3 linked regions of the Xenopus tropicalis genome follow. The protein of the gene in region 3 interacts with the protein of the main gene of each other region in a biochemical or structural test. Links are inferred from orthologs where the notes say so. Each region holds a gene or a part of one and is shown on either strand. Other genes may lie near its edges.

Region 1 (7,730 bases), on a different chromosome or scaffold from region 3:
AAAGCTGAAAAAGCACGAATAAAAGTTGTTAAATTTTGATAAATCCATAGTGCTTAAATAAAGATTAGGAGCTAGCTAGAGGGTGAGAAGAGAGTCAGAACATTAAGAGATGTAAAGAGTTAAAAACAATGTAGAAAAGGGCTACAAGGGAAAAGGGAAAAAACAAAACAGATACAGCACAAGAGAGAAAGAAAAGTTAAAAGGCAAAGGACAGGAAAGACAGAAAATGTAAAAAATGGCATTACATACCAACATGTGAATATGATGCATTAGGTCTATGGACAGATGGCTGAGCTCCATCACAAAATCTGTGTAGTATACATAAGTCCCTTTGCCCTCCCATGTTCCTTCGTGGTTTAGGTCCCAAAGGTGAATGACATAGCTGCAAGAACCCATATTATGAAACAATAGAAAGTTACCTAGCTAGTATAAATTGGCACTGATAAAAGTACAAGTGTTGAAGACAATATGGCCCTCAGTTTACAGGTCAAACAGAATTATTGTAATGCAAATCAAACAGAAAAATGCTCATGCCCAGAACACCTGATAAATGTGTCTCTTATACTTTGTTTCATGCACTGGCTTCCAATTAAATGGATTGGAAATGGATTCTTTTTAAAATCTGCCTTCTTATAATTAAGGCCCTAATTATCTGAAAAAACTCCTAATTTCTCATATCCCCAATCGCTACCTCCAATCTTCTCCATCGCAATAAAATCTATTTGCACTATATAAAACGGTCATCTGCAATCCAAAAATCATCTTCCTTAAATGTATTTAAAATCAATCTCAAAACATATACACGCACCTGGGCTTTCTGAGTAAATTAAAAAGTATCTTATTCATCAATAATGTTTGTGTCCCATGGGAGACAGGCACTATAAAATTTTATTATAGGTTTCCTGAACTGGCTTGCAGCAACTTGCAATGTTATCCACCCTCTGCCCACACATTAAACATTTCTACCACACAACACTTATATTTGTATGGGTCTTGTGTGTCCCACTCTGCATTTATATTGCAAAAAACCTTTACCTGCTACCTAAATTTCTCAGTTTAGAATTACAGCTATAGGACCCGTTATCCAGAATGCTTGGGATCAAGGGTATTCCGGATAATGGATCTTTCCATAATTTGGATCTCCATATCTTAAGTCTACTAAAAAAAAATCAATAAAAGATTGATTAAACCCAATAGGATTGTTTGCATCCAATAAGGATTAATGATATCTTAGTTGCGATCAAATACAAGCTTCTGTTTTATTATTAGAAAAAGGAAATCAAAATCAATTTTAAAAATCTAAATGATTTGATTAAAATGGAGTCTATGGGAGACAGGCTTTACAACATTCCTAAGCAATCCTAAATAGTTTCACAACTGCCGGCTACTAACAGCACGTTTCTTGTTCACATGACTGAGGGTATGGCTTCCAAGTGGCAAGGTGATTTTGATCACGTCAGCTCACAGGACCCTCAGATCATGCAGACCATTACTGCCTCAGATGGAGAACATCAGCATTCATAACACCGGTCTCTGCCTGCCGCCCTGGCTGATGCACAAGGAACAGTGACAGACAGACCTCTGCAAGCAAAACTCTCCTGGATCAACAATGCAATACCTCAACTTCAGTTACACAGTTTTTCTACATCACATCAAAGGCTACATTTTAGCACAAAACAACTCTTGCAGTAAAAGCACGAGCTATTGCTGTAAGATAATATACTTATTTGATATGTTTTGGTTTTAACACTATTGTACATACTTTCATTTAAAAAAAAATAAAAAAAAATAACACAATAATAGTTTTAGGGCTTACCGTAGCACAACATGAGTGGTTCTTGTTGTCACCAACATGCACTACAGGAATAAAAGTAATTCATTTTTAATGTGCACAGATAATCAGCAGCTTTTAGATCACAATTCTCTTAAGTGTCCAGCAACAGCATAAAATAAAAATATTATTTCTACAGTTAAAATGCGTACCTGTCCAACCATCACCTAAAATAGGTGATACCTCCTGAGGATGTGTAACATACCACATGAAACAAGTAGAGAACCTCAGAAGTTTCCAGGATTTTAAAGAATTTTTATTTAGTGCTTGAATGAATCTCTGTGAGTATTCCATTTGGGTTTATATTTATTTCTTATTAAAATGTTACTACACAATTTTGGTGCACTTTGTTTTCAGTGGGTATCCACATAAGATAGACAGAAGGTCCCTGATGAAAGATGGATGTTTGGCCTTGCTATTTATGCATCTGGTGATTAGGTGATTTAGCCAGAGTGTGATATTTAGATCACCTACACTTACATGAGATTTGAGCAATCACACTTTTAAGGAAATAAAATATTAAATTATTAAATAGTAATTAAATTAATACTGGCACATTTGCACTTTAATTTACTCTATTGAATGTGTTGTGCCAGTGCTTCCCTACAGAATTGTTGACATCACCTAAAAATAAACTATTTCTTAGCAACAAATGTCCCATTTATATAAGAAAAGTTTTAATTCTATTTCTGTGCTACTAATGCCACTGGACCCTTGTTAATCTCTTTGGCTACGTACTAAATAACATTGTATTCTAAAGAAACGATCCATTTGATCTGATGTGTTTGTAAGATTGAGTAAAACCAATCACAGAGAACACCAACATCAAAAAAAGGCACTTAAACTCTCATATATATATATATATATATATATATATATATATATATATATATATATATATATATATATATATATATATATATACTGGTATTTTAAAGAAAAAAAAAAAAACTGGATTTACCTTACCGTATTTAAGGAATCATTCAAATGGAAAATTCAGCAATGCAGTCACTTTTATTAAATTCTAAAAAGGTACTGTATTTCAAGGAGTGAACCCTTTCTGAGGACTTGTGTTGCTTTATTTTCCTTTTGAGAGATTCCTGCTACCATTAAAAACAAGACAAGACAAACTATAGTCTGACAAAAAGTACAACAGGATATAAGTTAGAAATGCAGACAAACTTAAATGCTAATTGGTAATTATTCAAGTAATAACTTAAATTAAAAGGAGACATTAACGCTATGTATAACATATAAAACTGCTTATCTCAGCACATTGAAATTCACATTGATTACAGAGAAGGGGAGCTAAGCTAAGCATCAACGGACACATCCTACTTCAGTAAAATAAGCTTTTTTACACCTTCATGATAATAGCAGAGACCAGAAGAGAAGTGAGCAATTTTACATTAAATTATATAATAGGGTATAAATACCTTTTAAAAATTAATCAAAAGCAGTATACTAAGACAGGGAGACTAAGAATTTGGTATCTAAATGTGGAGTATATTAAAGCAGCGAGCAGGCTTATGTACCACAGGGAGAAACAATCTGGTATTTTCTTACCTCAGCAGCCATAAAAGCCAATGTGTGCATCCCATGTGTGTATCCAGCAATTGCACACAGCACAGCAAGACCACAACAGGCCAAGAGCATAATATTCAGCAGAACCAAGACACGCATATGGCAACTCATTGGAGTGGTTGGGGAGAAAGATAACTGTAAGAAAGAAAGGAGAAAATCATTTAGAAATATATGCACAGCAGAATCAGAGCTAAATTTTTAGTGCAATGTTTAATTTTTTTCCCATTCTACGTACGTATTCAAACCGATCCTTACAGAGCTGCACCATGAGATGAAGAAAAAGCAATCCAGCAAACCACAAAAACCAAAGGACCACTTCCTCTACTGTCTGGACATTGAGTACCCCAAAGATGAAGATAAATTTATAAAAGATGAAGTTCCAAAACTTGTCCTTCAAGTGCTACAAAAATAAAGAAGGCAAGAGAAGAGTGCAAAGTCAAGATGACTGCAATTTGTAGGATTAAACAGCATACAAGTTGGTTATTAAAGGAACAGTAACATCAAAAAATGTAAGTGTTTTAAAGTAATTAAAATATAATGTGCTGTTGCTCTGCAAAAAACTGGTGTTTTTGCTACAGAAAAGCTACTATATAAATAAGCTGCTGTGTAGCCATGGGGGCAGCCATTCAAGCTGGAAAAAAGGAGAAAAGGCACAGGTTACATAGCAGATAATTAGTAGATAAGCCCCATATAATGGGGGTTTATCCGTTATCGGCTAAGTAACCTGTGCCTTTTCTCCTTTGAATGGCTGCCCCCATGGCTACACAGCAGCTTACTTATATAAACTATAGTAGTCTTTCTGAGGCAAACACACCAGTTGTAGCAATGCAGGGCAACAGTACATTATATTGTTATTACTTTTATACACTTTCATTTTTTGGTGTTACTGTTCCTTTAACACCAACTGGAACATAGACAGTCCTTTTTACCTGTCTCTCTCCAACACGGAGGGGACCAAATACCACATGCTGGATCAGTTTAGCAATCAGCATCAAAAGGCAACACACTGTGTTCACTAGAACCTGTAGAGAAAGAGAGACTGTATGTGGATCCTGTGCCATTATCCAAGTGCAGTTGCCATTATCCAACTTGTAATTGACTCTTTAAATCTTATTGCAGACTGGTTAATACTGGAAACTGTACCCTGGTATACTAATTTATAATGTGTGTACAACCCTAGAGAAATAAAAGGATATTATCACCTGAAAACACTTTTCTTAACATGGGAGGGGTGATAAAGGAAAAATCCTTAAAGGTGTAGTTCACCTTTAAGTTAACTTTTAATATGTTATAGAACAGCCAATTCTAAGCAACTTTTTAATTTGTCTTTTTATAGTTTTTTTTAATTATTTGTCTTCTTCTTGTGACTTTTGCAGCTTTCAAAGGAACGTCACTGACCCCAGCAGCCAAAAAATGATTGTTACTTACAGATTTATTGTTACTTTTTACTTCTTTTTATTCAGACCCTCTCCTATTCATATATTAATCTCTCATTCAAACTACTCTCTGGTTGCTAAGGTAATTTGGACCCTAGCAACCAGTTAGCTGCTGACTCAAGAGCTTGAGAGCAAAAAGTGAAATAAAAAAAAAAACAATAAAAAAATGAAAACCAATTGCAAATTGTCTCAGAATAGTATTTTCCACTTCATACTAAAATGTAACTCAAAGGTGAATTACCCATTTAATAAAGACAAATGCATAAAGAAGCTACAGTAAATATGCATGCAGTCTTATACCTGTACAAAAGTTAACTTACCTGTCTTGTAGTCCCATGTAGTATTTTCATACTAAAACAGGATTTTTGCTACTATTTTAACCAGTCTTACTTTATTTATAAGTCAACTAGCCATTTAAATTTATGTATGTATAGGCACATACACACACTTAAAGGGTCAGTAACATGAGGAAATGAAAATGCACTGAAATATATTACAAATAATGTTCAATTTCACTTTTGTACTAGATCTTGAAATCTTTTTTCCAGTTAAAAATACTTATATGTTAAGGAACTGGCCCCAGAAAAAAATATATTTCTTAAGGCCTCGTATCAGGGGGATTACTATTTAAGTAAATGACAGGCTGAATGGCCCTGATGAGGCAGATTCAGTTTTTATATATGTGCACACTGACATAAGTGTTTCTCATTAAAACCACATATTGTTTTGTCAACTGGCATAAATACCCCAGGGGGGTGAAAGCGCAGATTAGTTGGCACCAGCCAACATGTCAGTGTACCAGTCTGGGTCATTTATAAACACTGGCCAAATCAGCACCTGGACAGTAACCCATGGCAACAACATTATACATTTGCCTTCACTGTTCTCCCTACAGCTAGCTGAAAAGACTAATCAATGATTGGTTGCTATGGGTTACTGGCCAGACAAAAATTTGCCCAGTGCTTTTAAAAGAGCCCCATTGTCAGTGCACACTAAAGTCAGGGTAGAAGACAATCAGCATTTACTCCACAGGTATATTTAAAGGAGACAAGCCCTAATTTTGTAGGCAATTATGAATAATATATGGTGGTGGTTTCACTTTGGGCTAAAATTGAATACTGTCTACAAAAATGGCCCTTTTTTGGACGTCCCTATATCTCCCTAAGATCTCAGGTCTCTGTTAGTGATTCAAATAAAGCATGGGTGTGTCCTAACGGTCCCTGCCAGAAGCACAGCAGGAGGGGGTAACCAATCACAGCCCTGCAGCCATACAAACAAAGACAGGCTTCAGTTCCCTATCAGGTTAGCCTAGCTGCTGCTGGCTCCTATCCTACAGTCCAGTGTGCCGCCAGCTCCCCTGCACATCCAGAGAATTTAGCCAGAAGGAGTGGAACAGATGGGTGGGACTAGTAGGGTTTTGGGGGAATTTCTCAATGAATCAGTTCAAAACGCAACTTTTTTTTAAGCAAAATCCTTCTATTTTTAGAGGAGAATAATTCACTGGTACATTCTTAATTTTTACATGATATGCCTCTTAACTTCAGCAGAGAAAATGGCTTGTGTGACACAGGCCTAAAGGTGGCCATACACATTATAATTATGATCTTTCCAGTGATTGCTCATACCCTCCACTAGCATTCAGGGCTGAATCGTCAGATATGGAGGTAGAAATAATAGGAATTCATCCCTAAATGCTTGTTTTTGCTCGGGTGCCGCCTCGTCCGATTGATGAGACGACCGACATCCAATGCTTTTGCGGTATTGGTTGCCTCAATTCACTATACATGCACTGAATATCGTACAAAACAATATCTTAGCTTAAGGCTAATGCAAGACCAGGATGTTTCAAGGCCTGCATATAAGCGCAGCCAAGAAACAGCACCTCAGCTCACAAATGATCTCAGCGGTGTCTGCACCCAGAGCCACTGTGCCTCAGCACCATCAGTTATATTACAGAGAATTACACCAATACTTAATTCTCCAAAAGTGGATCAGATATGATCCTCCCTCAGAAATTCCCCTAGCCCTGCATCTTATTTTAACACACAAGCACTTTCTCCAACCATATTACAATACACTTGCAAATTAAAATGGGGAGAAAATAAAACTAATAATAAATAATGATACAATATACATGGGCTATCTACATGTCTGCACTTCAACAATTCTGCATTATTTCAGAAGTACAGGTATGGGATCCCTTATCCGAAAACCTGTTATCCAGAAATTTCCGAATTATGGAAAGGCAGTCTCCCATAGACTCCACTAGAAGCAAATAATTTTAATTGATTTCCCTTTTCTCTGTCATAATAAAACAGTACCATGTACTTGATCCCAACTAAGATATAATTAATCCTTATTGGGGACAAAACAATCCTATTGGGTTTATTCAATATTTAAATGATTTTTAGCAGAGGAGATCCAAATTAAAGAAATATTCTTTATCAGGAAAATCCCAGGGCCCAAGCATTCTGGATAGCAGGTCCCATGCCTGTATTTTATTAAAAAATACTTTCTTTACTTTAAAAGCCTTGGCAATTTAACATGCCAGATGGTGCCCTATTATGGGGCAATATTCACTAGAAGATGAAGAAATATTTTTTTCATTTAGTTTGTACAAAATACATTTAAAGAAGACATATTAGATAAATGGAAGAAAACCCTAATCTTCTAGGCAATTATAAATAATACATGGTGCTGGTTTCACTTTTGTCCAAAAATAAATAATATCTATAAAAATGGCCCCTTTATTGGAGGTTCCTATAAATCCTATCAGGTCTCTGTTCGTGTTTGATGAGCAAATGATGAGTGGCATGTCCTAAGGGTCCCTGCCAGAAGCACAGTAGAAGGGGGATAGCCAATCACAGCTCTGCAGTCAC
Region 2 (8,242 bases), on a different chromosome or scaffold from region 3:
AATACTCACTGGGCTGGGCAGCTCTTTCATTTTCTGTTCTGCAATCTTTAGGTTTGATTTGTAGGTTTCATTGTCTGGATCCAGTATCAGGGCTTGTTTGTAAAAACCTACAGCTTCTGCATGTTTATTCAAGCTTGAAAGTGCCAGTCTAAAAATATTAAAAAAGAATGGTTTAAAAACATTTCTTCCATAATTGTAAGGTAAAGTAACTTAAACAGGAACATACCCCATTCTGCCATAAGCTTTGCTGTAGTTAGGGTCAATTGTAATTGCCTCTTCACAGTCCCTCACAGCTCCAGCATAGTTGCCCAGTTTGCTGTAAGCTGCAGCCCTGTGTAAAAAGACACGCAATATAGTGATTAATAATGCCTTGTTTTGCAACTGTTGCAGATACATGACATGACAAATGAAACCAGAAGCTTTTATGTAAAAGTTGTGTGCAAAAATATGTTACTAATGTTACTAAAGACAAAAACAGGCACAAATTACTGAACAGAACAGTACATTTTAATATATATATATATATATATATGTATGAAATTTCTAAATTAAATATTAAAGTGTTATGGACAGCCACTTGAACATTTTTTTTACACCTGCTGTTGTGTTTTAATTTGTATCAGCTTTAAATTCCTTAGAACCTAAATCTGCAAAGTTTTTTCGCTTCATAATTATGGTAGCATGAGACCCATGGAGCAGCCATGTTTGTTCCCCTCTTCCGGGTTTTAATTGAAATGCCTCCCAAGTGAATAAATATGCCCAGTCACAAACCTGCAATGCCCCTTCTGCTTTCAGCGGTGTGTGACAAACTCAGCTCCGTTGTCTATGTGTAATGGTGGGGGAGGGAGTGCCCTTAGAAGCAGACAGGCAGGCACGGGAAAGGTTAAGCTTGCCTGCTATTTAATTCTTCGTGGGAAGAGCAGAGATATATACACACACACATATTTCTTGTATGTAGATACATACCTGTTGCAGTAGTACACAGCATTTGTTGGGTTCAGTTCAAGAGCTTTTGAGTAGTAGGAAATAGCACTTTCAAAATTTTCTAATTTCATTTGCTCATTGCCTAAGAAAAACAAGATTCTCTGCTCATCTAATGGTACATACACCAAAAACTACCTCTGGCCACAATAATTAAAACACAGATACAGGTTTAAGAAAAGTAATAACATGACAGTAATTCTTTCTCTTTCTATTAATTGATATCAAAATTGCCTTGAGTCTGCAAACTCAGCTTCAAAGTTTTTGAAAAACAGATTTCAATACAGGATTCTGCTCGAGAAGCTCTATTAACTGATGAGTTTTGAAAAAGAACATGTTTTCCCATGACAGTATTCCTTTAAAAAGCAGCTGGAGGTCAAGGTGGAGCAAAAGGAGAAAACAAAGTGTAGAAGTAGGGAGTTTGAAGTGGAAGGGCACAAATACATACAAGGACAAATATGTAAGGGAATTATATTAAATGGACAAAATCAGTGGCAAATGGCAAAGAAATCTGGATTAAGGGTGAAAGGTGAAATGAGGGTGATATAAAGAAAAATATAGGAAAAAAGTTAAGATGTGAATTTAGAGAAGTGGAGATTATATAAACGCCTTTAAATCAAATATCCTTATACTGCCATACTGTCTAACTATGCTACCACAAGTATTTTCTTGTCCCAAAATGTACTCCTTAATGCCATTTTTTTTTTACCAATATACCATGGCTTCTCAATTAATGCAATTGAATATTCTGCATAACCTCACAGTCATGAACAATTAATACAAGGGACAATTTTAAAGGGCATGTCGACCCCAAAAATAACTTTTTGCATAAGAAAAGAAAACATAATTCTAAGCAATTTTCCAATATGAAAAATAGTTAAAAATTTGTAGCGCTTTAAAAGTTATTTGTAAATGTAATTGCTATTGAAAGCAGCATTTGCTGAACTCCTGGTTGTTACTTTCTAATCAGTGTTGCAACTGTCTCCTCCAGCAAGTCAAGTCTGTCAATCTGCTGCCTTGTGTTACATTGTTTCAACAGTCAGAGTCACCAGGGTAGAGAATAGAAAAGGACAGGCAAACACTGCTTTTTAATAGCAATTATAAATACAAATTACTCAAAAATCATTACAAATTTGTAATAAATGTATATTGCAAAGCTGCTTAGAATCTTGTTTTCTTTTATTAGGCAAAAATTATATTTTGCGTTGCCTTGTCCTTTAAGAGATCATGCAACATGTCAAGTGTCCAACCTTCTGTCTTCAATCTTTCAGCTTCTGCTACATCCTCATCACAAGGGGAGGCCAGGCCAGAATTAACTTGCGGAGAGTCCTGAATTTGGGAGGAGAGAAGAAGAATGCTTTAATTAACAGCGCATTAAGTTACCATTTTCCCAAAACTATGGTCTAGACAGCAAACCAATCTTTCTTCTTTGCTAGTTTTAAGTTTCAGTTTACAAAACGGTAAGAAAGCTTAGAATGTAGAGCTACAAAGTCTTATAGTAAAAGCTGTGATTAAAGGAGAAGGAAAGGCTAAATCACGGAGGGGTGCCAAATGTTAGCCCCCCCCCACCAGTGATTGTAATCTCTTACCTGATACCTGTGCCCGGTGCTCCTGTTAGGATGAAATTGCACTGGCCCAGGGTATATGCAAGCTAGCTTTCCTCTTCCTCCTGTCTTCTTTCTTTATAATCCCAGGACAGACACATGCGCAGTTGAGCGGAAAAGCTGGCTTTTCTCTCTACTGAGCATGTGAAGAAGGATCACTAGCTCACATACACACCAGCCATGCAGTTTTCTCCTAAGAGGAGCACTGGTTGGGGGTTTTAGGCAAGCAATTACAATGATTGGGGATGCCTAAGACTTTGGCCCCAGTAACTGTAACTTTCCTACTCCTTTATGTTATCAAGTTTGTAAGAAAGATGAAATATGGTATGTAGACTTTAAAAAGTTTAGAATTTCGCAATTCATTTTTTTCCAAAACAATGCCATTTCATGTCAGTCAATAACTAATTACAAGGATTACCTGACATGTGGCTTCTGTAAATATCTCTTGGAGACTCCTTGGTACAGCTAAGTTACTGTCTTCAATGGAAACCTCAAAGGCTGTCTCCAGGCACTGAATAGCAACTGTAAAATTCAAATTACATAATGCTTCCATCTAGTAATTATACACAAATATATTTAAAGTAATCCAATAGTTCCTGCATTCAAGCATCAGAGAAAGACCAGAAGACTTCCCTGGGATGGAACACTTAATTCATTCAATGCAGGCTTGCATTGAAAACATTTGTGGACTAACATTCACAATATTAATTTACAAACTTGTACATTTTCATTTTTTACAGTTATTAAATGAATGAATCAGGGTGTAATTGAGACTGATCAACAGAAACACTTCCCCACCAGAGGTGCAAGCTAATACAACAACCAGACAGCAGTTTGGAAGTCACAATGGATGATTAAAAGAAGATGAACAGAAAAAAAGATAATCAAACTAACAATAAATCTGAACTCTCACATTCATTCAATTTTACTCGCCCAGGTCAATGATCTCCAACAACCAGAGAGCATTTTCAGTTGCAGGCTGAAAATTGTTACATTAATAATTTAAAAAAACAAAACATTCATAACACGTTATACACTACATAAAAAATCTTAACTTACTCTCAACATCCTGATGGGCTATTTGGTAGCCCCAAATGGACTGCTAGCCTGCAGGAGGCTCTGCTTGGAGTAAATCTGTGTCTGGCTTTCAAACCTGCCTCCAAGCCAGAAATTTTAAAATGGGCACCTATTTTGAGGCCGGTGGAAGCAACATCAAAAGGGGTGGTAAGCAACATGTTGCTTGCGAGCCACTGGTTGGGGATTACTGCCCGTATGCATGGTAAGAAGCATTTAGATATTAGAATGCATTTAAAAGTACTGCTCTCCATCCTCTGGACTACTGCCTGTTAAACTTGCACTTCAAGTATCTGGCAGTAGTTCAGTAGCCCCAGGTGGGTGCAGGCTGAATATCATAAGTTTTATGAAAAAGCAAGGAAAAGAAAAAACTATTTTGTCTCATAAGAATAGTTCCCCCATCAAATAAACAGAAAGATAGAATATGAAGTAACAACCAGACCTTCCAGGCTCTCCTGTGCATCTGAGGAAAGCCCACCATTGCGTAACTGGTCATGTAAATGCCGAATAATGGAGAAAGCTAAGCGTTTTTTGTCAGCCATTGGATTTGTGAACACTTCAAGTGACAAGGTCCGACTCTGCAAATAAACTGGCATTAAAACATAAACAATGTCAGTGAATATGAATTCATATCTGATAAAAAAAAAAATAGATATATTTTTCCAGGTACCATTCAGAATCACCAGTCTTTGCCATTTTATCATTAAGCAAATATTCACAAGTACATTTATACAAATGATTAACAATGCACCATTCTCTGCAGGCATATCCAATAATGTTCGTCATTTTTAGCTCCCCTTGTTCAACAAATACTGTTGTTTAGAGCGGCCACTGGATATGCCACAGGTCTCAAAGGAAAAAGAAAACAGTGTTTATGTACATATGGTCACCCACAACCCATATATCTAGGGCCACACTTATACACATTTTCAATATTTCCACCCAGTTAACAGGGTTTGTATGACATACACACACTGTATTATCTTCCAAAGGTAGACTTCAACATAAGAGCTGCAGCATCTGCTAAAATACCTAGTATTTTTATCACTACGGCATAGCACTTTCAGAAACACCACAGGTCCCTTACAAGACAGGGCATATTTGCCCCTGGGCGTAACTCCACGGAAACCAATCAGATTTTTTCTTTCCCAACCTTCAGCCAGCTGAAAACAGCTAATCACTGATTCGTTGGCAAGGGTTACTGCCAAGGTGCAATTTTGCCCAGTGTTGATAAATGAGCCCAGTGTTGATAAATGAGCCCCAATGACCTTTCCATTGCATGGATGATTAATCAGCTGAAGAATTTTAGGGAAAGCCCAGTTTAAGGGCTGTGGCACATGAGGAGATTTGTTGCCAGCGATTTTTAAAAGAGCGATTTGGCGACAAGACGAGCGACAAGATATAAATCAATGGAAATCGCCAGCGTCAGCTTCAAATCGCCTGCTGTTTAAAATCGCACACAGACCCTTTTCTGAGCGACTTGAGTAAACATGAGGGGGGGTTGACTGTTGAGTGTACCATGGGTAGCAGATCGCCTGGAGCTCAACTCGCATGAAATCTCTTTGTGGGTATTGTCGTGGCGACTTGTCGCCAAAGCACCAGGGGGAAAAAACGCAAATCTCCTCGTGTGCCAGAGCCCTAAAGGCAGTAGCGGTCAGAAATGTGTCAAATGGATGGTACTGTGTCAAATGGATGGTACAGACGTCAACAATGCTGTTATCAGCACATACAGGATCCTGTGGTTCAGTAATGGCTGAGCGGATGCAGACAGGACACCCAGACCTAGGCAAAGTCACCTCCCACACGTCAGAAGCCCCAGCAGTATTAGTACACGTTCGTGTAATTAAACTGAAAAAAGCTCCGGGCCGCCATTGGCACCAATATATTAGTTAAATATATCTCTGAGTCTTTCCATTCCGCTCCCCTGTATCAACATTCTCTATCACCAGCGTGTTCAACAGAACTTCCTGGTCTGTTATATGTCGGTTCCATCATATTACCACAAAATAGTAACACCTATATTAACCTTACCATGCACAAAGGCACCCCCCCCAAAAATCTCTCTGACCCAGTCTTACCAGACACCACTACTCACATGCGAAAGCCCGGAACCGGATTCGGAATCACCTGTCAGCTGTCATACAGGAAGTGGCGTCATTAGTCGGATTCGCGAATGTGTCTCAGAGTCTCTGGACTGCTGCGTTTTTGTTTGTACTATGGTGGTTTCGGGTCAGAGACAATTGTCCATGCTCCTGGAGCCAGGTAGCTAACGTCTGGAAGTATATCGGTATGCACAGGGAACACCGACATTTAATGGTAACATTAATATGAGTTTTGAATAATATAAGAGTATTGGCGCAGTGCATGCCTGGGTAATTATACCAATAAATAATATTACAAGGCTATAATACTTAATGGCTTTCTAACGAAAATATGTGCTACATTGCAGTCGACCAGCTCTAGTTAATTTTCAGAACCCTTGTTGTCATTCAAAACATAGAGGCAAACTAGCCTGTGTTTAGCCTGCTTTTATGTTCTTATTTCCTCTCTCCCATGCCCCCAACAGGGTGTTTGATTATCGTATGTGGACTTAATGGATAACATCTTTGGCCAGAGGGGAAAATAACTTAATGGCCAGATTGGGACATTAATTGACCAGTTGAATTTCACATTCAGTGGGTACAGGATATAGGCAGGTAAAGAGGGTACATTTATTAAGCTTAAAGTGGAATTATCACAAATATTTAAGTTCAATATAAGCTTCAGCATACTAAAACATGATTTTTTCTAAATTTTTTCTAAAATTCTGCCCATTTCTGAAATAATCAAGTTGTTTTTCGCTCTCCTGCTTCGCAGCATCTGTCTCTCTTCTTCCTCTCTCCAAGCAAGAGGTGGGAGCCTGATTTTAAATATCAGATCCAATATATCTCTAGAGTGGTGGCAGTTTCCTTTGCCTAGAAGATGCATTAGAGCTCAATCTTTTAAAACCACCACAGATAGGATTTGTGCCAAAGTTAGCAATTTTGTTTGTGCTAGAATCAGTTATTTGAGTAAGCTCTAAAGGTGGCCATACAGGCACCGATAATATCGTACGAAACCTCGTTTCGTACGATATTCGGTGCGTGTATGGTATGTCGGCGAGTCGACCGATATCGCAGGAAGCTGCTGATATCGGCCGACTCGCCGATCGGACCAGTTGGAAAATTTTGATCGGGCGCCATAGAAGGCGCCTGATCAAAATCTCCTTTCAGCGCTGAATCGGCAGAAGGAGGTAGAAATCCTATTGTTTCTACCTCCTTACCTGCCGATTCAGCCCTGAATGGTGTGTGGCACATCTGACGATGTTTCAAACATCGTCAGATCGCCACGTGTATGGCCAGCATTATACATCTGCTAGAAAAGGGGAACCTGCAAAAGATATATTTTATCTAACTGCTAATGAAAATCTGACACCCAACTCCTGCATGAAGAGAAAATGAAAGACAATGAAGATAAACTTGGCTATTTCAGAAACTGTTCTGAATCTTTAATTGATTATATGTAGGAACTGTATTATTTCAGTATTGACGCTTATATTGAATTTTAATTTCGTTATAGTTCCCCTTAAAATGATTGTAGTGTTTTGGCTACAAAGGATGCAGTAGGTGTAGCATTTGCACTCTGGATCCTTGTGCCTTTAATTAACAGTGCCTACTTCAGCATTATTTCACACAAGTGCTTTGTACTGTACGATTTTCAAGTGTTTGTGTGTTGCTTATATTTGTTTACTTTTAAAAGGAGATATCAAAGAGCAGGCACAAATTGGGAGTCTTAAAGGAGAAGGAAAGGCTAAGTCACTTGGGGGTGCCAAAATGTTAGGCACCCCCAAGTGACTTAGAAAGCCTACCTTGTACCCCGGGCTGGTGCCCCTGTACGGAGGGAACAGCACCAGCCCGGGGTAGCTGCCGGCGCTTCCTCCTTCCTCCTCGCATGCGCCGGCCGGCGGATTTCGCCGGCAGTGCGCAAAGGAAGGAGGAAGCGGTGTCTACAGGTGCCCCGGGCTGGTGCTGTTCCCTCCGTACAGGGGCACCAGCCCGGGGTACAAGGTAGGCGCTCTAAGTCACTTGGGGGGGTGCCTAACATTTTGGCACCCCCAAGTGACTTAGCCTTTCCTTCTCCTTTAAGCTGGCCACACACGTGGCGATTTTCGATCTTTCGTGCGACCATTGACCATCGGTTCCAACCCTCCACTGACATTCAGGGCTGAATCGTCAGATATGGAGGTAGAAACAATAGGATTTCTACCTCCTTCTGTCAATTCAGCCCTGAAGGCAGATTTTGCTCAGGCGCCTTCTATGGCGCCCGATCAAAATCTTTTAACCCGCCCGATCAAGTCGACTGATATCCGCAGCCTTCTCCGATATCGGTCGCCTCGCCAAGTTGCCATACAGCCAGCTTTTGCAAGCAGAGATCAGGATCTGTGCCACTATTTTCAGTTACTAATGAGTAAATGTTGCCTTTGATTGTATATTATTCTATTAATTGTAATTAGTATATTAATTGTGCCATATTGTTAAACTAATACTGTTAACCTGAGGGTTAAA
Region 3 (7,730 bases):
AACAGACCTGCAATGCAAGAGAATCATACGACTGTGATGCAAGAATATCATAGGTCCCTCAAGGTGCCATTACATGCACAGATGTTTAGGCAGTACTCTCTCTACCATTTCATATAGTCAGTGCTGGCTACAATTCAGCAAATATATTGTTTCAGTACAACTGAATTTTTAACCAAAAACCCAATACACCTATCTGCATTCTCACACATTCATAGTATCCTCTTATAGTTCACAGACCATGTTATTCCTCCATATCCAGAACAGCCCATCATACTATCACAAAACCAGAACCTATTCACAAATTTCACCTATAAAAGCCTATACCAATGCATACAAATATGTGATTTGCCAAATATAGTCCAGCTACTGACCCTTAAAAAATGCAAATATCTCTTTACTTATCTGTGCCTTTTTCTCACAAGCATCAACTCAAACAGCCATGAATAATGTTCCTTATTATCTACATAAATCATCAAATTAATCTTAATAAGTTGCTTTTTAAACAATCAATTAATAGACATTCTGTAAGTATGAAATGTTTAACACGTGAATCTTTTACACATCAGGCAACTTACATTCTCATAGGCATCAGAGGTAGCACTACTAAGGATTTCCCGGTAACGTTGCATGAAAGGGGCTAGACGTTCCTCAACCCGTGACAAAGACTGCAGGACCTCAACATATTCTGATGGTGAAGGATGACTAAAGCAAAAGAATTATTATAAGCTGTTGTTTTAGAAAAGGAGATAAAAAAGGGGTGGGGGGGGTGGAATTACAGTTTCACCTGGTAGGGGCTGTATTCGACTGCCCATCTGTATTCTGTGTAGTCTGAGGCAAGGTTTCTCTACTGCTGGCCTCTCCTTCAGACACTGCTGTGTCCATCGGTTCTGCAGTCTGCTCATTAACTGGTTGTCCCTGAAATACACAAAAAGGTTATAGAACCAGCAGTCCACATACACTTGCATAAAGCTACAAAAGGTTTTTCTTACCTCCAAACGATCCAGTATCCTCTGTATGTCCTGCAGTATTTGCTGAGCCAAAACAAGACGAACACGAGGTTCACTCTGCAAAGGGAGACAAACAGGAGAAAAAGGGAAAAGTAGAATGGATATGGAAAGAAAGAAGAGGAGAATGAAATAGAATTTATGTGGGTAAAGAAAGATATACATCAACGCAGGGATTGGGATTATAAAGAATTATAATATTATGTAAGGTTGTGAAGAATTTGGTAGCCAGGTAATGGAAGGCATAAAAAGAGAAGAAAGACATCATTACAGAAGAGTGAAGAGAGTTACATAGATGTGTCAAAAATCATAGTTGTGGGATTGGAAGGAGAAGTAGAAAGTGTGGACAAAAACACAGATGGATAACAAAGCAAGATGGAGGAAAGCAAGGAGAAGCGAGAGAAAGCATCAGGATGCATTAGACTGCCTCAGCAACTGCTTGGTCTTCAGTTTGGATTTGCATCTTAAATGTCCCTTCTTGTTGTTTCACAATTATAACAGAACAAACCCACTAAACTAAATACCAGGCACTATGTATATTGTGTTTTTAAATAGGTCAAATATACAGTGGTTAACCACTACCATTTAAAGCCATGTAGATATCATGCAAGCAACTAACACTTGCCCAGAAATGCATGAGTCCACAGATTTCAATAAGAACATATTTTTGGTTGAGCCTCTGTGTTAATTTCATATTTATTACTTATGGGTTCCTCAATAACACATGTGCACCCTAAACTGATAAAACAATGTTCTGCTTAAGATAATTTGCAATAAATCAGAGTTGACTCTTTAATACCGACTTGTACTGGATCTGCTCAGATGTTTCAGGCATTTTCACTCAGTCCTGTTAAAACCAAACATAGGCTGATAAAATGCAGTCAAGTTGGCAGTTTACTGGCCTTGTGTGGGCCCTCAGCAGAGCCTGTAAGAACCATATCTGATCATAAATCCAGTAGATATGTATTGGGCATGTTTGAAAATCTGAGAGTTTAAGGAGATCCTTAATTATAGGCCCACAGTGTAATCCAATTGTTGGCCCCTGAGCCACTAGTTTGGTGACCTTGTAAGGCCAGCGTAAAAAGACATGGAAATGTTAAAAATCTCTTTGATGGGCTAATTTGTTTGACACCCCACATGAACTCATGAATCTTTTCTGTCCTACTTGTGCAGGGTATACCTGGGAGCGTGGGGCAAGATGGGCTCTGAGTCAGTTAAAAGGTGATTTTCAACACAAACAGTGGTATCCTAAGGCAATTTTAATGGATCTTTGTTATATTTTGTGGTTTATTAATTATTTACATAGCTCTCAGGTGTGAAATTGTAACTGCTATCTGGTTGCTATGACTTAATTATCTTAGACCAGGCCATACATTAAGGGCTCTGGCAGACAGGGAGATTAGTCGCCCGCGACTAATCTCCCCGAATTGCCATCCCACCGGTGAAAATGTAAGTCGCCAGTGGGATAGCACACGCTGTGCAGGCGACTTACATTTTCGCCGGTGGGATGGCGACTCGGGGAGATTAGTCGCCCGCGAACAGGGAGATTTGTCGCGGGCGACTAATCTCCCCGTGTGCCAGAGCCCTAAAAGTCAACAAGATAGATAAATAGCAGAGAGCCTGAACTTAAAGATAAGCAATAAAACATATAAGAACAATACAGTCAACCTGCTTTGTGGTTGTGTGTATAAAGGTGGCCATACACAGGCAGATTTAAGCTGCCGTTTCGAGTCCTTTAGTCCGATTCTGGAGCTTATCTGCCCAGGTATAAGGCTTAGAAAAATTCCATTTATAAGATATTAAAAGTTTATTTAAATGTGAAATGTGAAAAGAGTTGAAATGTTTTACTAGTGTTGTAAACATTTTGACACTTACCTCTATAACAAAAAAAAAAAAAAAAAAAAAAAAAAAAAAGAATTGACTCAGCATTTTTGGAAATTTAATGTAATGTGTCTGGCCTAGGCCTAAGCAACTAAATGACTAAGTTTTACAAATAAAATGCAACTGATATGGAGAGGATTAGGGTCTATAGAAAATGCTTTGCAAAAACAAGAAAAGCGGTAAGGCTTACCAAGCATTCAAAATGAAAGTAATACATTGTTAATGATAAATGTATCTCCAAAGAATATCCAAACAACCTCTAATGTTATTCATATTGAAAAAGTGGTTTGTGTGACCTTGCTCTGAATTCCTACGCTCCATATACCTGGACAGGGAGCTGTTGATCCAGATTTATATGGACATCAAGAGTGGAGCCATCATTCTGAGCAAAAGAAAGAGGAAGACAAAAGAAAGACAAAAAGAAAATAGCAAGGGTGCGAGAGGAAGGAATAGAAAAAAAAGAAGACAATATAAAAGATGTGGGTATGAAGGGTAAAGGTAAAGGAGGATGTCAGAATAGTTGGAAAGAGAGGGAAGTATGAGAGATAATATCGATAAGAAGGGAAGAATACAGTGAAAAAAAAAAATATGGGGTGGGATTGAAATGGGGAGAACAGTAACAGTATGTCAGAAAAATATTCCTTACAATCTATCAAGAAATACACTTGCAGATTTCCCTAATGGTATACAACAATCAGCTGGGGGAGAATCTCTTATGGAACAAGCATACAACAGAAAAAAATGCAAGCACAAGCTTCTATGTAAGAAACACAGGCAATTATTGCTAGTAAATGTGACAGACCTAAAAGGTGCAAAAGGATGCAGAAGAAAATATAGTGTACATATATAAACTTACCCCACTTACTGTAGAAACACGTGGGCCTCTGCTGGCCTCACCAAGACCAGACATTACATGCTGAAGAACAATAGGTAAATAGAAGTTTAGCAGTCACATAAAAAGTTTCTTTGAATCAAAGAAAGAAAAAAAAAAAACAGGTACATGACACTTAGTACATGCTACCCATGATATAGGGTATCTATGCACAGGTTATGCAGTGATCCCCCAACCAGTGGTTCGTGAGCAAAATGTTGCTCAGCACCCCCTTTGATGTTACTCCCAGTGGTCTCAAAGCAGGTGCTTATTTTTGAATTTCTGGCTTGGAGGCAAGTTTTGGAAGCAGGGAGACAGTTTTACTCCAAGCAGAGCCTCCTTAAGGCCAGCAGGCCACATGGAGCTACCAACTAGCCAATCACAGCCCTTATTTGGCATCCCCAAAGACCCTTTTCCATGCTTGTGTTGCTCACAAACACTTGTTACGTCACAGTGTGGCTCATGAGTAAAAAAGGTTGGGGATCCCTGGGTTATGGGTATATTTAGGGGTTATTCCTGCTAATGTTATGTCTGGAATATTCAATTAAAAGTTACCATACATAACGGATATTTAAGATGGGAATCTAAAAAAACAAATAGGCATTATTCCATTCCCATTATTCCTTTGGCTGAGCCCCCTGCCACCTTTCCTTTAGCTTCTCTAAGGGTTCCCACGTCACTGACCCTAGCAATCAGAAATCATTAATCCTGATGATAGATTTTTGTTAATATTTTTCACTTAACATTCAGCCTTCACCTTCTCCTTTTTATCTTTTAATCTATCATTTAAACCGCATATGTCAAACAACAAACCACTCAACTTTTTCTAAGAGCCAACCACCATCCACTGTTAGTAGCTTCATTATTAGCTTTCCATGTGCTTTTTCAGTTATAACAACTAGCTCTATGGGTCAGGGACCTCCTTGTCTATGACATTATCAATTATTTAAGTTCTCCAAGGTTAATCCTTTATTGTCTGCATGTTAAGATTACAGCAGGGAAAACTCTTGAGAACTGACCCATATGCCATTATTTTAATAGTGCATTATATTAAAAATAAAAAGTGATAGTGTCCTTTATATACCCAACTGTCAACAGTTCACAATGATTCTCTTCTGTTACAATAAGAGCTTCTCTGCGTGTGACCAAATTGTCTTACCGGAAGATTGAATGTGCCAACCATCACATAGCTGTTTCCATTCCTTTCAGGAGCCCCAGCCCCAGGTACATTAGCGGCATTACTGCTGGATGGTGAAGTACTTGAAGATGTAGATGGTCCACCTGTTGAAGGCTGTGTCTGAGGAGGAGCCCGTTCAACTAAGTGAATAACCTTCCCATCAACATCTAAAAAAAGCATACATGCTATGTAAGAGCATGCCAATATTAAAAGGACCATTTAAAACATAGATATACAAGGAAAGTCACACAAAAAACTTACTGTATTCTTTCAGTTTTTTGTCCTCTTGCAGTACTCGCCCCTGATATATAAGCCGCTGTTTCTCTGGTGAAATTCCAACATCAGATGAAATATGTGTTTTGAATTCCTTTACTGTGATCTAGGGGAGAAAGAGTACAGGTAAATGGCAGGCAGCAATTATGACTTTGTCCCCCATGCATACATTCTACTATACTAACATGAATACACAAATAACGGTACAGAGTCTACCTCTCTCTTTCTTAAGGTGGCCATGCATGATTTTTGTCATTCAAAATAAAGAATTTTTCCGGATGGGCTTGTTATGGGGGCATACTCACCAATTAATATAAAGGGCCCATGTAACCCCTAAAATGTTAACTACCCATCACTACAACATGACATGTATATGACTACAACGCGGTGACATTTGTAATATCTCTTTGTATACTTCAAACGTTTTATGTCAGTACCTATTGATGTGATTTTTGTTTGCAATAAAACTTACCTGAACAAAAAATAAAATAAAGGGCCCAGATGCACAAGCCTCAAAAACCTTCAAGCTTACTGGCAAATTTCAAGCAAAATTACCTCATAGATGAGAAAAGGCTGGAACAGGTAAAACTGGACCAGTTAACAGAAAATTTGGTGCAGTTAACATGTTTCTTTTTTTTTTTTTTTTAAAGAAGAAGCATCTCAAACATAAACAGCCTGACGCATTTTATGCCAAAAGCAGAAACGTAATCATAGGCTCGATTATTAGGCCATAAGCGTATGATTAATGCCTGCTTTTGGCACAAAATGCGTCAGACTGTTCATGTTTGAGATGTTTTTCTTTAAATAAAAAAAGAAACATGTTTTAATTGCACCACATTTTTTGTTAATTGGCCCAGTTTTTCCTGTGCCAGCCTTTTTTCATCTATGAAGTAATTATGAATGATTTTTGGTCAGATATCACTCAGGCACACCCACTGAAGAGCCCCACAGATGCACATTTCTACTGATGACTTGGTTTGAAGAATGAATTACCCACTTAAATCTGCCTCTGTATGGCCACCTCTAGGAGAGGAAATTAGTGCCACTTCCCTATTTTATAACAGAAATTAAAAATACTTGCTTTAAAGGCTATAGTTGTCCTTTACAAAGGTTTTGGATGCATCACCAGCCATAGGCACATATACAGAGTTGCTTTCATTTCGAAGTCACCAGTTTCCATCTTAAAGGAAAACTATACCCCAGAATGAATAATTAACCAACAGATAGGTCACTTAACATAATATAAACTATTAAAGAATCTTGCCAGAATGACATATATCAGTAAATATTGCCCTTTTACATCCTTTCCCTTGATCCACCATTTAGTGATGGGCTGTGTGCTCCCTCGGAGATCACATGACAAGAAATAATACAGGTTGGGGGTATAGTTTTCCTTTAAGGGCAATGGAAAATAATTATTTGGCTGCTTGGACGATTTCCCACTTCACCTGCCACTGAGTGCACTGCCTCATTTATGTTCTCTGCTATTTGATTAACATTTATCAGGTTGTGGGATGCAGCTGCAGTGAGTCTTGTGGTGGAATGTGGTGGAACTACAGTTGCAGTTGTAGCATCTGTATCATCATTACAAGATCAGATTTGATATATTTATGTATTATAAAAGTAAAAAATAAAACAGTATTTAATTCCGTCACTTGTACTGGTCTGATGCTATTTAAGAATATCTGTCAGAAAACTAGAAAGTAAGTAAAAATAAACATATATTTCCTCATGCAAGCAAAAGCAGGTTTATAACTTTTTGTAATCAAATATTTTTCTAAATCCACACAAATTAATATTGATGATGGAGATGATAGAGTTTCAACATATTCTGCAGAATACAAATAACTATAATTGCAGTTGTAATTGCAATATAAACCTGTTATAATAACATAGAACAAACAATGTTGCAAACACATATATATATATATATATATATATATATATATATATATATATATATATATATATATACACATACACACACACACACAAATACTTCCAAAAGGGTAAATACTGTATATCTAAATATATATATATATATATATATATATATATATATATATATATATATATTTAGATATATATACAGTATTTACCCTTTTGGAAGTATTTGTGTGTGTGTGTATATATATATATATATATAGCCAGAAACTGTCCTCACCTCTGCATCCACTGTGAATGTTCTTGTTTGTGAATCCAGTGTTTTCACAGTCACTTCCATTTTCTCATTAGCTGCCATTCTTCAACCTTAATTATAACAAATTATATGAACCATATAATAATCACATGGGTACAACCATGCAGCACAAAATGCCAAGAGGTAGCAGTGTCCAATATAAGCCTATGACAGCAGACATGTATTTCCCCATTACATAACCCACCTTCAGGAAATAGCATAAGAAATGTACCTGCTTTCAGCTTAAGCTACTACTGCAACACAGTCAGATAAAGAACCCAGAAGCCTGCAGTTAAATGTCATGTTTACAGTAGCCATACTGCAAAAAGCATCTACAGACACATT

What was found.
Region 1: the proteins of bag6 (region 3) and amfr form a complex in vitro, tested with the Homo sapiens proteins (2 studies listed by BioGRID, with this or other methods). The link is inferred for Xenopus tropicalis from reciprocal best matches to the Homo sapiens genes BAG6 and AMFR.
Region 2: the proteins of bag6 (region 3) and sgta form a complex in vitro, tested with the Homo sapiens proteins (4 studies listed by BioGRID, with this or other methods). The link is inferred for Xenopus tropicalis from reciprocal best matches to the Homo sapiens genes BAG6 and SGTA.

Annotation. Positions count from the first base shown.
Region 1 is NC_030680.2:51,706,237-51,713,966, forward strand, and holds part of amfr (E3 ubiquitin-protein ligase AMFR), read right to left. Parts: intron 4,438-7,730; coding exon 4,345-4,437; intron 3,816-4,344; coding exon 3,651-3,815; intron 3,551-3,650; coding exon 3,398-3,550; intron 1,858-3,397; coding exon 1,817-1,857; intron 383-1,816; coding exon 250-382; intron 5-249; coding exon 1-4. UniProt on the Homo sapiens protein: E3 ubiquitin-protein ligase that mediates the polyubiquitination of lysine and cysteine residues on target proteins, such as CD3D, CYP3A4, CFTR, INSIG1, SOAT2/ACAT2 and APOB for proteasomal degradation.
Region 2 is NC_030677.2:99,256,126-99,264,367, reverse strand, and holds the start of sgta (small glutamine-rich tetratricopeptide repeat-containing protein alpha), read right to left. Parts: upstream 4,246-8,242; 5' UTR 4,202-4,245; coding exon 4,102-4,201; intron 3,108-4,101; coding exon 3,004-3,107; intron 2,311-3,003; coding exon 2,232-2,310; intron 1,067-2,231; coding exon 967-1,066; intron 332-966; coding exon 227-331; intron 149-226; coding exon 10-148; intron 1-9. UniProt on the Homo sapiens protein: Co-chaperone that binds misfolded and hydrophobic patches-containing client proteins in the cytosol. Mediates their targeting to the endoplasmic reticulum but also regulates their sorting to the proteasome when targeting fails.
Region 3 is NC_030684.2:74,259,888-74,267,617, reverse strand, and holds part of bag6 (large proline-rich protein bag6), read right to left. Parts: intron 7,457-7,730; 5' UTR 7,449-7,456; coding exon 7,371-7,448; intron 5,713-7,370; exon of another isoform or gene 5,416-5,712; intron 5,333-5,415; exon of another isoform or gene 5,313-5,332; coding exon 5,195-5,312; exon of another isoform or gene 5,101-5,194; coding exon 4,916-5,100; intron 3,802-4,915; coding exon 3,742-3,801; intron 3,268-3,741; coding exon 3,211-3,267; intron 1,065-3,210; coding exon 990-1,064; intron 916-989; coding exon 785-915; intron 703-784; coding exon 576-702; intron 1-575. UniProt on the Homo sapiens protein: ATP-independent molecular chaperone preventing the aggregation of misfolded and hydrophobic patches-containing proteins.